3 linked regions of the Danio rerio genome follow. The protein of the gene in region 1 purifies or fractionates together with the protein of each later gene. This does not show direct contact. Links are inferred from orthologs where the notes say so. Each region holds a gene or a part of one and is shown in the gene's direction. Other genes may lie near its edges.

What was found.
Region 2: the proteins of arpc1a (region 1) and arpc2 purify together in Homo sapiens (affinity purification with mass spectrometry; 8 studies listed by BioGRID and IntAct, counting the BioPlex papers as one, with this or other methods). This does not show direct contact. The link is inferred for Danio rerio from reciprocal best matches to the Homo sapiens genes ARPC1A and ARPC2.
Region 3: the proteins of arpc1a (region 1) and arpc3 purify together in Homo sapiens (affinity purification with mass spectrometry; 8 studies listed by BioGRID and IntAct, counting the BioPlex papers as one, with this or other methods). This does not show direct contact. The link is inferred for Danio rerio from reciprocal best matches to the Homo sapiens genes ARPC1A and ARPC3.

The regions. Positions count from the first base shown.
Region 1 is NC_133178.1:39,753,787-39,756,870, forward strand, and holds part of arpc1a (actin-related protein 2/3 complex subunit 1A), read left to right. Parts: intron 1-717; 5' UTR 718-743; coding exon 744-807; intron 808-889; coding exon 890-994; intron 995-1,591; coding exon 1,592-1,814; intron 1,815-1,896; coding exon 1,897-2,004; intron 2,005-2,087; coding exon 2,088-2,300; intron 2,301-2,417; coding exon 2,418-2,493; intron 2,494-3,084. UniProt on the Homo sapiens protein: Probably functions as a component of the Arp2/3 complex which is involved in regulation of actin polymerization and together with an activating nucleation-promoting factor (NPF) mediates the formation of branched actin networks.
Region 2 is NC_133184.1:49,933,628-49,938,086, reverse strand, and holds the start of arpc2 (actin-related protein 2/3 complex subunit 2), read left to right. Parts: upstream 1-1,629; 5' UTR 1,630-1,747; coding exon 1,748-1,821; intron 1,822-4,459. UniProt on the Homo sapiens protein: Actin-binding component of the Arp2/3 complex, a multiprotein complex that mediates actin polymerization upon stimulation by nucleation-promoting factor (NPF).
Region 3 is NC_133196.1:18,453,827-18,456,755, forward strand, and holds the end of arpc3 (actin-related protein 2/3 complex subunit 3), read left to right. Parts: intron 1-94; coding exon 95-163; intron 164-237; coding exon 238-364; intron 365-444; coding exon 445-539; intron 540-2,063; coding exon 2,064-2,126; 3' UTR 2,127-2,325; downstream 2,326-2,929. UniProt on the Homo sapiens protein: Component of the Arp2/3 complex, a multiprotein complex that mediates actin polymerization upon stimulation by nucleation-promoting factor (NPF).

The DNA.
Region 1 (3,084 bases):
GTACAGCACCCTTACCATTTGCCTATACTGCCTATGCCACTGGCCGGCCCTGCATAAAGTACATATAAATAGAAAAGCTGTACATTAGAGGGTAAAAACAAAAGATTTGACAATATCAAAAGCTATAATCCAGGACTTTACAGTTTTTGACTGAGCTCCATGTATGCTTCCTGTTGAAAGTTCCATACAAATAATGTCCAGCAAAGATAGACCGTATTGATCTACTCATTATATGAGGGGGGATCCAGCGGCAGACCAACATTTTCTTAGCAGCTGTGAAGGAAGCTTAGAGTAAGTTATTTTGTTGCATTGAGAGTGATATGTTAGAAAAATCATTCAGGAATCATCTTTTCCTAACAAAAATGAACTATCATGTGCCAGCTGAGATGAAAAAGAATGAAGTGCAGGACATTTCCAATAATAATGAAAATAAGTGCCAACTGTCCTCTGTGAACCACAATTTCTATCTGGGTCAGGTGTTAAATTTGTTTTAAGGGGGGATAAATAGAGTCTATGCAATTGTTTCCAATGTATCATTTGACGATTTGTATTTTTTGAGGAGGATGGAATAGTGTCCCAAATTTGGTCAGAAAAGAAAGGTTGTATATATCCACTGATATCCTTAGACCAGACAGTAGTGATGGTGTTATGTAGAAAATATTACTATTATATTATTACTGGCATAGCAATCAAACATGAGTTTTGCGACTTTTTCAGGCAGAGGTGCAAATTCTTTGAAGATAATGTCACTTCACCAGTTTTTGTTGGAACCCATCACCTGCCACGCATGGAACCGGGACAGGACCCGTAAGATGCTTTTCATTCCTTTTATACTTTTATAATTTTTTTAAATTGATGTCTAAACCCATGTTGTGCTTTTTATTGACAGAAATTGCTATCAGCCCAAACAACCACGAAGTCCATATATACAAGAAAAGTGGAAATCAGTGGGTGAAAGTTCATGAATTAAAAGAACACAATGGGCACATCACAGGTACAGATCCCTGCAAATCTGACTGTAGAAGCATATCATGCTTGCTTTGTTAATATCAAATGTTTTGTTGAACTATACTGGAATTTGGTACCAATTGATACTGATATTTTAAAAACGTCCATTTCCCATTAACATTTAAGTGCTGTTGAGCACGTTCTTAAACGGCGCTGATTTGCCGTTGTGTTCACATGCTCAACAGAAATGACTGTAATTGGCCGTGAAGGTCATCAGTGCACTGAACTCCCTGCTGTTTACTGAGTATAAACACAGATACAAGGACATTCATCAGCAGATCACTTGTTTATCAGCTTATAGACAAACCAACTGATCGAGGTGACTTTGAAATGCTCCAGTGTCCCTGTGTCTGTGGTTACACTCAGTAAACAGCAGTGAGTTCGGTGAACCGATGACCTTCACAGCCAATTACAGTCATTTCTGTTGAGCATGTGAACACAACGGCAAATCAGTAGTGTTTAGGATTGTGCTTAACAGTGATTAAATGGGAAATTGACGTTTTTAAAATTTCAGTATCGATTAGTACTAAATTCCAGTATTGTGAAAACGCTACCAGCAAACAGTTTTTGTTTTTATTTCTAGGCATTGACTGGGCTCCTAAAAGTGATCGTATTGTGACCTGTGGAGCGGACCGAAATGCTTATGTATGGAGTCAAAAGGACGGCGTGTGGAAACCCACCCTTGTTATTCTCAGGATCAACCGTGCTGCCACGTTTGTGAAATGGTCTCCTCTGGAGAACAAATTTGCAGTGGGGAGTGGAGCTCGACTCATATCCGTTTGCTACTTTGAGTCTGAAAATGATTGGTTGGTCTCAGTTAAAATCTTGTGCCACTGCACTTTTAAAAAATGTAATTCTTCAGGTATTAATTATTATTTTTAATTTTAGGTGGGTTAGTAAACACATCAAAAAGCCCATCCGTTCAACTGTCCTCAGTTTAGACTGGCATCCAAATAATGTGCTTCTGGCAGCTGGGTCATGTGACTTCAAATGCAGGTGAGACTTTGTCTACATGCAATGTCTTTAAGTAATGAAATATTATTATTATTAGTGCTCATATGTGTTTGTTTGTTTCTTAGGGTGTTCTCTGCATACATCAAGGAGGTGGATGAGAAACCAGCTCCAACCCCGTGGGGTTCCAAAATGCCCTTTGGGCAGGTGATGACAGAGTTTGGTGGGGCGGGAAGTGGAGGTTGGGTTCACAGCGTCTGTTTCTCTGCCAGTGGAAACAGATTGGCTTGGGTCAGCCATGACAGTACTGTCACTGTAGTGGACCCCACAATAAGCTCAACGTGAGTATCCTAGATAGTCGGTGTGTTAAGTATGATTAAACCATTTTGTATTTGCTGGCAGACCTTTTGTAAAAGATCATGGTCAATCATGAATAACTGCACGCATCTCTTTTGCAGGCCGAGTCAGCTGAAAACCGAATTCCTTGCTCTTCTGAGTGTAACTTTTGTTTCTGAGAACAACATTGTGGCAGCGGTAAGAACCTTTACATTTCTTGCTCAGTTCGCTTCTCTTGGGGAGTTTGGTCTGGACTAAAAAGAAAATATATACACACATTTAGTCTAGGTCATTTCAGTCTAAACCTAAGTATACAAAGCAAATAAAGTGCTCATAGTATGTGGTTGCATATTATGTTGTTGTTTTAAGTATTGGAGAGTTCATAAAGAGCTTTGTAAAGTTGTAAAGAATGCAATATTTGATACATAAACAAAGATGCACTGCATAGAAAGAGATTTCTGGGGTGTATATTGAGAAAAAACTGACTGATCAGGCATGCTAGAGCATTTTGTTTTTGGGTTGCATCTTGGGACATCATGTCCTGTTTTTGGTTTGTGTAGATGTCTTTTGTTACTTCAGTCAAATCACTTGGAAGCGGACCAAAACCCACCATTCCAGCAGTTGTCATTTATTCATTCATTGGTTTGGTGCGGTGTTCACACTTATTTCACCTAACTGCGTAAACACAGCAATCCTGCTTTCTACAGCTGTTTACACTGCTGCATTTCCACTGAAAATGCCATTTTAGTATAAAAGTACTCCTCATCCACACTGGCATTTTTACTGAAA
Region 2 (4,459 bases), on another chromosome or scaffold:
CCATACTAATCAGGTTTGAGTAACTTAGTAATGTGTTTTGGACCATATTAACCTGGCTTGAGTAACTTTGTAAGTGTTTTGGACCATATTAGCCAGGGTTGAGTAACTTGGTAAGTGTTTTGGACCATATTAACCATGGTTGAGTAACTTAATAAGTGTTTTTGGACCATACTAAACAGGCTTAAGTAACTTAATAAGTGTTTTTGGACCATATTAACCAGGCTTGAGTACTAGCCTAAGTGTTTTTGGACCATACTAACCAGGTTTGAGTAACTTAGCAAGTGTCTTGGACTATATTAACCAGGCTTGAATAACTTAATAAGTGTTTTTTGAACCATATTAACCAGGCTTGAGTAACTTAGTGTTTTTGGACTATATTAACCAGGCTTGAGTAACTTAGTAAATGTTTTGGACCATATTAACCAGACTTCCCTGCTGAAAAATCCAGCTTAAACCAGCCTAGGCTGGTTTGCTGGTTTTAGTTGGTCGACCAGGCTGGTTTTAGAGGGATTTTGGCCATTTCCAGGCTGGTTTCCACCCATTTGCAGCCTGGTCTTAGCTATACAGGCTGGAAAATGACCTGAAAAAATCCAACTAAAACCAGCTGACCAGCCTGGTTTAAGCTGGATATAGCTGGTTTTGGCTGGACTCCGAGCTTGGCTAGGCTGGTCAAGCTGGTTTTAGCTGGTCAACTCCCAGCCTGACCAGCTAAGACCAGGCTGGAAATGGCTGGACCAGCCTGGAAGTGGCCAAAACCCCTCTAAAACCAGGCTGGTCGACCAGCTAAAACCAGCCAAGCAGCCTAGGCTGGTTTAAGCTGGATTTTTCAGCAGGGTTGAGTAACTTAGTCAGTATTTTTGGACCACACTAACCAGGCTTGAGTAGGCTACTAGCCTAAGTGCTTTTGGACCATATTAACCAGGCTTGAATAACTTAGTAAGTGTTTTTGGACTATATTAACCAGGCTTGAGTAGGCTACTTGCCTACGTGCTTTTGGACCATAACCAGGCTTGAATAACTTAGTAGGTGTTTTTGTACCATACTAACTTCAACTGATCGCTTGATTCTATGGTAGCTAGCTTTGCGAATACAACAATTATAATAGCTAATATGAACAAATGATCTAATACTATAACTACATAGTCTACTGTAGAAACGAAAAACCTAAATATACTACATGGTTTATTGCAGTTTATCAGTTCACGATAGTTAATACTACAGTATGCTCTATCATTTATTACCTAATGTTGTAAGGCTAATATATTTGCTTTATAGAGGACAAATAAAGGCATTGAAATTTACAAAAACGCTGTTTTATGTTTCTTTAGGTAATTTCTTTAAGAAATAAGGAATAAATAATACAAATGCAATGTGATTTTAAAACTCCTTATTTAGTAAGCAAATCACGATAACAGGAGGAGTTGACACGTCATGGGATTTTATTTGGTCATAAAGTGTGGAAACGATTCATGAACAAAGTAAATAAAAACATCCTGAATGTAACCTAGAAGATTTTTTTTTACTTGAAAACGCTTAATTTTGGTCAAAAACATTTTGTTTAAATGATTAGCACATACGATCAGGCGGTGACGCGGGCAGCCCGCGGGTCTTTCGAGTCAATGCGGAAGCGGCCAGAAGTCCAGGAGCAGGAAAACCAAAACGATTGTAGCAGCGTTGTAGAAATAAAACAACATCAACTCTTATATTTTTAATTGCACATAGCCATTTAACATTCACATAAATCATCATGATTTTGTTGGAAATCAACAATCGGATCATAGAGGAGACTCTCAGCCTCAAATTCGACAGCGCGAGCAACGGGTAAGAGGAAGATCTTCCTGTCTCAGTCACATCGCTCATATAATGCATGCAGACTTTAACAAGAGACATATTTCATTTCACACCCATATAATAGCACAAAAACACACTCATTATTGATTCAGTTCTGAATGGCAATTCGCTGTTTTTCACGTTGGAGGATTGAAGCATCCTGTATGGGGTGTGTCCAGCAGTATATGTCACATAGAAAACCTTTAATGATTATTTCAACCTTTATATAAACCTTTACTTGTGGAAACGAGATCGACATGTTAAGTTACTGCGTTAAACAGTTGAGTAAATTTGGCCACTGCACGCTTCGCCTCCGCCGACCTGATTTCTGGAAATGTTTAACGTTAGTCGTAATGCAGATTTCAGGCACTTCCTGTTCGTGTATTTCAGCCGAATGCATGTCGCTGCAGGAACAAGCATATTAGCACTTCTTTTCAGACCCGTCTGTGCACGATTTGCTCGTGAATACTCCTCTAGCCCTTCATTTTTCCCTTCAATGTGGGATTCTGCGCGTGCTTGAGCTGGAACGGTCGCGCGCATGTGAATAAACACACATTCTGATTTATTTTTTAATTAAATTTTTTTACTTCAGCTTTATTTGTATAGCGCTTTTACAATGTAGATTGTGTCAAAGCAGCTTCACATAAATGGTCATAGTAACTGGATCAGGGTAGTTCAGTTTTTAGTGTTTAAGTTCAGTTCAGTTTAGCTCAGTTCAGTGTGGTTTGAAGTCATTATTGAGTCATTACGGTGTGCTTAGTTTGTGGATATTTAGCTTTAATGAATAAATAAATAAATTGCTCGTTATAGCTTTTAAAGGAGGGTTTCGTGCAAATACCTTCTATTATTCTGTCATTGTTTACATTATTATTACTGGAATACTTGATTCTGATTGGTTAATCACTGCGATCTGTCGCTCTAAATTAGAGATGCCCAAACTAGGGCCTGTGGGCCAAAGTTGGCCCATGTTAACTTTTGATTTGGGCTGACATCCTATCTAAGAAGAGGAAGAATGATAGGGATGGTTTAGAGATTGTCATTTCAAATCTAATGTAAACTTTTGTTTGTTTGTTTGTTTGTTTGTTTGTTTGATTTATTGCTATTCTTATTGTTTGTTTTATTGTTAAAAGCTAACTGAGACAAAATGTTTTAATTAAATGGTGTAAATTAATCAGATTTAGTTTAAATGTACATACCGTCACCGGACGGATAAAGGACAAATCAATGCAAAGGCAGATTCTGCTTGACTAGTGTTTTCAGCATTGAACTCCACTGTTATAATGTGATTTTTACTGCGGTAAGTTTTCATTTAAAATTTTTTACACATTCATTAATATGATATAAAGTAATGTTTACCAATAAATGGCAACTTTAACATAAAATAGTTTGGTACATTTACCTTCAGCCCATGGTTCTCAATGATATTTGGTTTTTGGCCCTTTATACCAAAAATCTTGGGCACTACTGCTTTAAACAAAGCAGAAGGGGCACTTTGTTTCCAGAAGTTTAAGCTATATTCATTTTAAGCATAGAGTTATGTCTCAGGACTTATTTTTTATGATTACATCTTCATTCATTCATTTTCTTTTCAACTTAGTCCCTTTATTAATCCGGGGTTGCCACAGCAGAATGAACCGCCAACTTATCCAGCACATGTTTTACGCAGCGGATGCCCTTCCAGCTGCAACCCATCTCTGGGAAAATCACATCTTCAGTATCTGATATATTACATCTGATTACTACGTTGTTGATTTATTTTGTGCAATGTGGCTTTTGTTTTTGTTTTGTTGTCTCTCTCCCTCTCTTTCTCTGTCATTCCACAAGACATTAGCTGCATTTCCATTAGGGCTGCACAATATATCTATTCAGCATTGATATCGCAATGTGATCATTCTCAATAGTCACTATGTTGAGTCTGGATTATAATTGAAAATGTACCGTTTGTAACTTTGAAAAATGAATAGTGATTAATTTTATGAAATTGTTTACAAAACGAAGACTATACAGTCTTATTGTACACATGATTATGCAATTTCTGAATATCTGAATACATTTTGACTCCTCTGAAAACACTAAAACTCTGTTTATTTAATTAGCATATATTTCTTTATTGAATTTATCTATGCATGTGGATTGTTTATTATATTTTATGCACTCCCCTACAGAGTCTTCTCAATCTATTTAAAATTATAGATTCTTTACAAACATTTGTCAAACTCATCTAGAGAAATTGTATTCATATCGCAGTATATATATATATATATATATATACATGTATGTATGTATGTATGTATGTATGTATGTATGTATGTATGTATGTATGTATGTATGTATGTATGCATGCATGCATGCATGCATGCATGCATGCATGCATGCATGCATATATATATATATATATATATATATATATATATATATATATATATATATATATATATATATATATATATATATATGCATATATATATATATATATATATATATATATATATATATATATATATATATATATATATATATATATATATATATATATATATATAGCCGAATTAAAAAAAACACAATGTGTAATTTTTACAATATTGTGCAACTCTAGTTTCCATCCACCTATTTTTTTTTTTTTGCGTAT
Region 3 (2,929 bases), on another chromosome or scaffold:
TGAATAATCATGACTGGGAAATGTACATTTTGTGTGAACTGTCCTTTAAATGTTAAAGATTTTGTATTAAAATATTATTTTTAACTTGCTTTAGAATGAGGCTGATCGAACCTTGATCTACATCACTCTTTACATCTCTGAATGTCTCAAGAAACTCCAAAAGGTAATGAAAGATTCATACTCTAATAGGTAATGCTTCATACATATCTAACCTTCAATAATATGAATGCTTTACAGTGCAGTTCACGGGGCCAAGGAGAGAAGGAGATGTACACGCTGGGCATTACCAACTTCCCCATTCCCGGAGAGCCTGGTTTCCCTCTCAACGCCATGTATGCTAAACCCTCCAGCAAGCAGGAGGAAGGTATGGAGCAATAAATGATGGGTTTATTCAAAAGGGATATTTCTGGACTGATTTAATACTGTATTTTTTTCTCTTGACAGAAAACATGAGAGCTTACCTGCAACAAATCCGCCAGGAGACCGGACTGAGACTGTGTGACAGAGTGTTCGACCCTCAGACAGACAAACCAAGCAAGGTGAATTTAATCGGCAGAGTATCCGTGGGTTTTTAAAATGTCTTAAATGTCAAAAGCTAAATTTTAGGCCTTAACAAGTCTTAAATCTACTGAAATGTTGTGTTGTAGGTCTTAAATATTTTGAATTTTAACAAAATTTGTCATGTATAGTTACCCAATCTGGCCATTACCATCCATAGAATGACCAACAATCCATATCAATAAAATGTTTCACTTTTATTTAAAAATTGCATTTAATTACTTTCCTTACAGTAATATTTGCTTAAAAGCTCTCCATTTATTTACTTTTGAGGTTACTGACCTGGCCTATATTTTTATTATTAATATTAAATGTATTAAATTGTAATAATTTTTTAAGGCAAGTGAATGTTTTTTCTAACTGCGATATTCGGGGGGAAATGTCTTTAGCATTTAGCTCTGTATAAGTCTAACATTTTACTCATAATGTTCTTAAAAATGTCTTAAAGTTAACTCAGTGAAACCTGCAGAAACCCTGAATTAAATATTAATTCATCAATTTATCTGGCAAGACTAAAGGATTTTTTGCTGTTATCTTGCATTGGGACGTTTTTTTAAATGACAGTGAAGGAAAAATGTGCTTCAAAGTAGTTACTGTAATGCAAACAAGAAGAACCGAGGGAAAAAAGTCAAGGAAAGATTGCTTAAGGCACATTTTTTTTACTTTTTAAGGTCACATTCCTTTTCATGATAGTTAAAACATTTGTCTACAAGTGTTTTTTTAATGACAATTAAACCAATTTTTCTTTTCAGATTATACTGTAAAATAGAACTTCTGAACATTTATATTTGTATTGTGACTAAAGCTGCGTGTGGCTCTCAAACGAACTCTCTGCCACAAACTGAATATTATTTACAACTTTATTACCTGTTTTTCACAGCCTATGCAGGTTCTGTTCACTAAAGTAGACGTGCGCGCGTCTATCATTTAAGTAGCAATGAGGTAACAGCTCACGGTCAGCAGCTCACGTCACTTGTGATTTCCCGGCCGCAAATACAGTATTATATGAAGACAAAAATGACATTTTTAGGTGAATTGTACCTTATAAATACAGTATGTGACTCTTTTAATATCATTTGGAGGTGTCCATGTTGCTGAGCAACCCATGTGAAACAATGAAAAGACTCGTGCAGCCGCTTTTGCTTCTTTTCTGAACTTGAAAATATGACAGCAGCAGTTGGCAGAATCATAGAAATGCTGGATTAAGATCGTCTAGTGGGTCGAATCGAGATCGCAATCTTTTTTCAATTAATTGTGTATTCAGCTATTATTTTCTCAAACACATTTCTAAAGTCATTATTATAATGTTCAACCTGTATAATTGTTCAAGAAAGTTTTGCATTATATGGAAACATTTTAAATAAAATTGAAACATTTTATTAAATTGTACTACATTGTACACTGTAGAATATATGTTCCCTGAAATACTCACACCAAAATTCACAAAAACATTTTGACAAACAGTGATTATTTAATAACACTTTCTCCTTTTTTTTTATCTACAGTGGTGGGTGTGTTTTGTAAAGAAACAGTTCATGAACAAAAGTCTGTCTGCACCGGGCCAGTAAGAACCTACTCAGGATCTCAGTTGGTACCTCTGTGCGGGATGTGGATGGATATTTTTTTTGTCTGTCTGTTTTCTTTAATGTTTATGCAAACCTGTTTACCCTTATTCAGATTTTGTACTGGTTATATCAAGTGTATTTGATTTCTGGTCTGTCATGTAAAACAGCAGATGATCAAATAAAAGTCTATTGAAGAGAAACAGTATTATTATTAGCGTCTAAAGACACATCAGTTTTCTGAATTAGCTTTTAATATTATATTTTCAGTATTGTAGCCATACAGTATGTGGGTCAAAGATGTAAAAAGCTTTTATGAGTTTCTATTTCAGTTGGTTTCCAAGACAACATTTTCTCATCTGATATACAAGACAAATTTATTTATGTAGCACATTTCATACACGATGGTAATTCAAAGTACTTCACATAACCAGGAATAAAAGAAACAGGTATAAGAAAATAAAAACAACAAAGAATAAAAATAGATTAAAATGTGTTGAAAGTCTCAAACGAATGAAAAAGAAAAGAAAGACACAATAGTGTGATCTGTTGAACGAAGCACAGGGCTCATTCAGTAAAGGCACAGCTAAACGGATGTGTTTTGAGTCTTGAGTAGAACGTGCCTAATGTTGGAGCACATCTGATCATTTCTGGAAGCTGATTTCAGCAGCTGAAGGCAGATTCACCCTGCTTTGACTGAACCCTTGGAATTTCTAGTTTATTTTATCCTAGAGATCTGAGTGATCTGTTTGGTTTGTATTCAGTGAGCCGAGTACTGAGGTCCTAGGCCCATTAAATGATTTATAGAC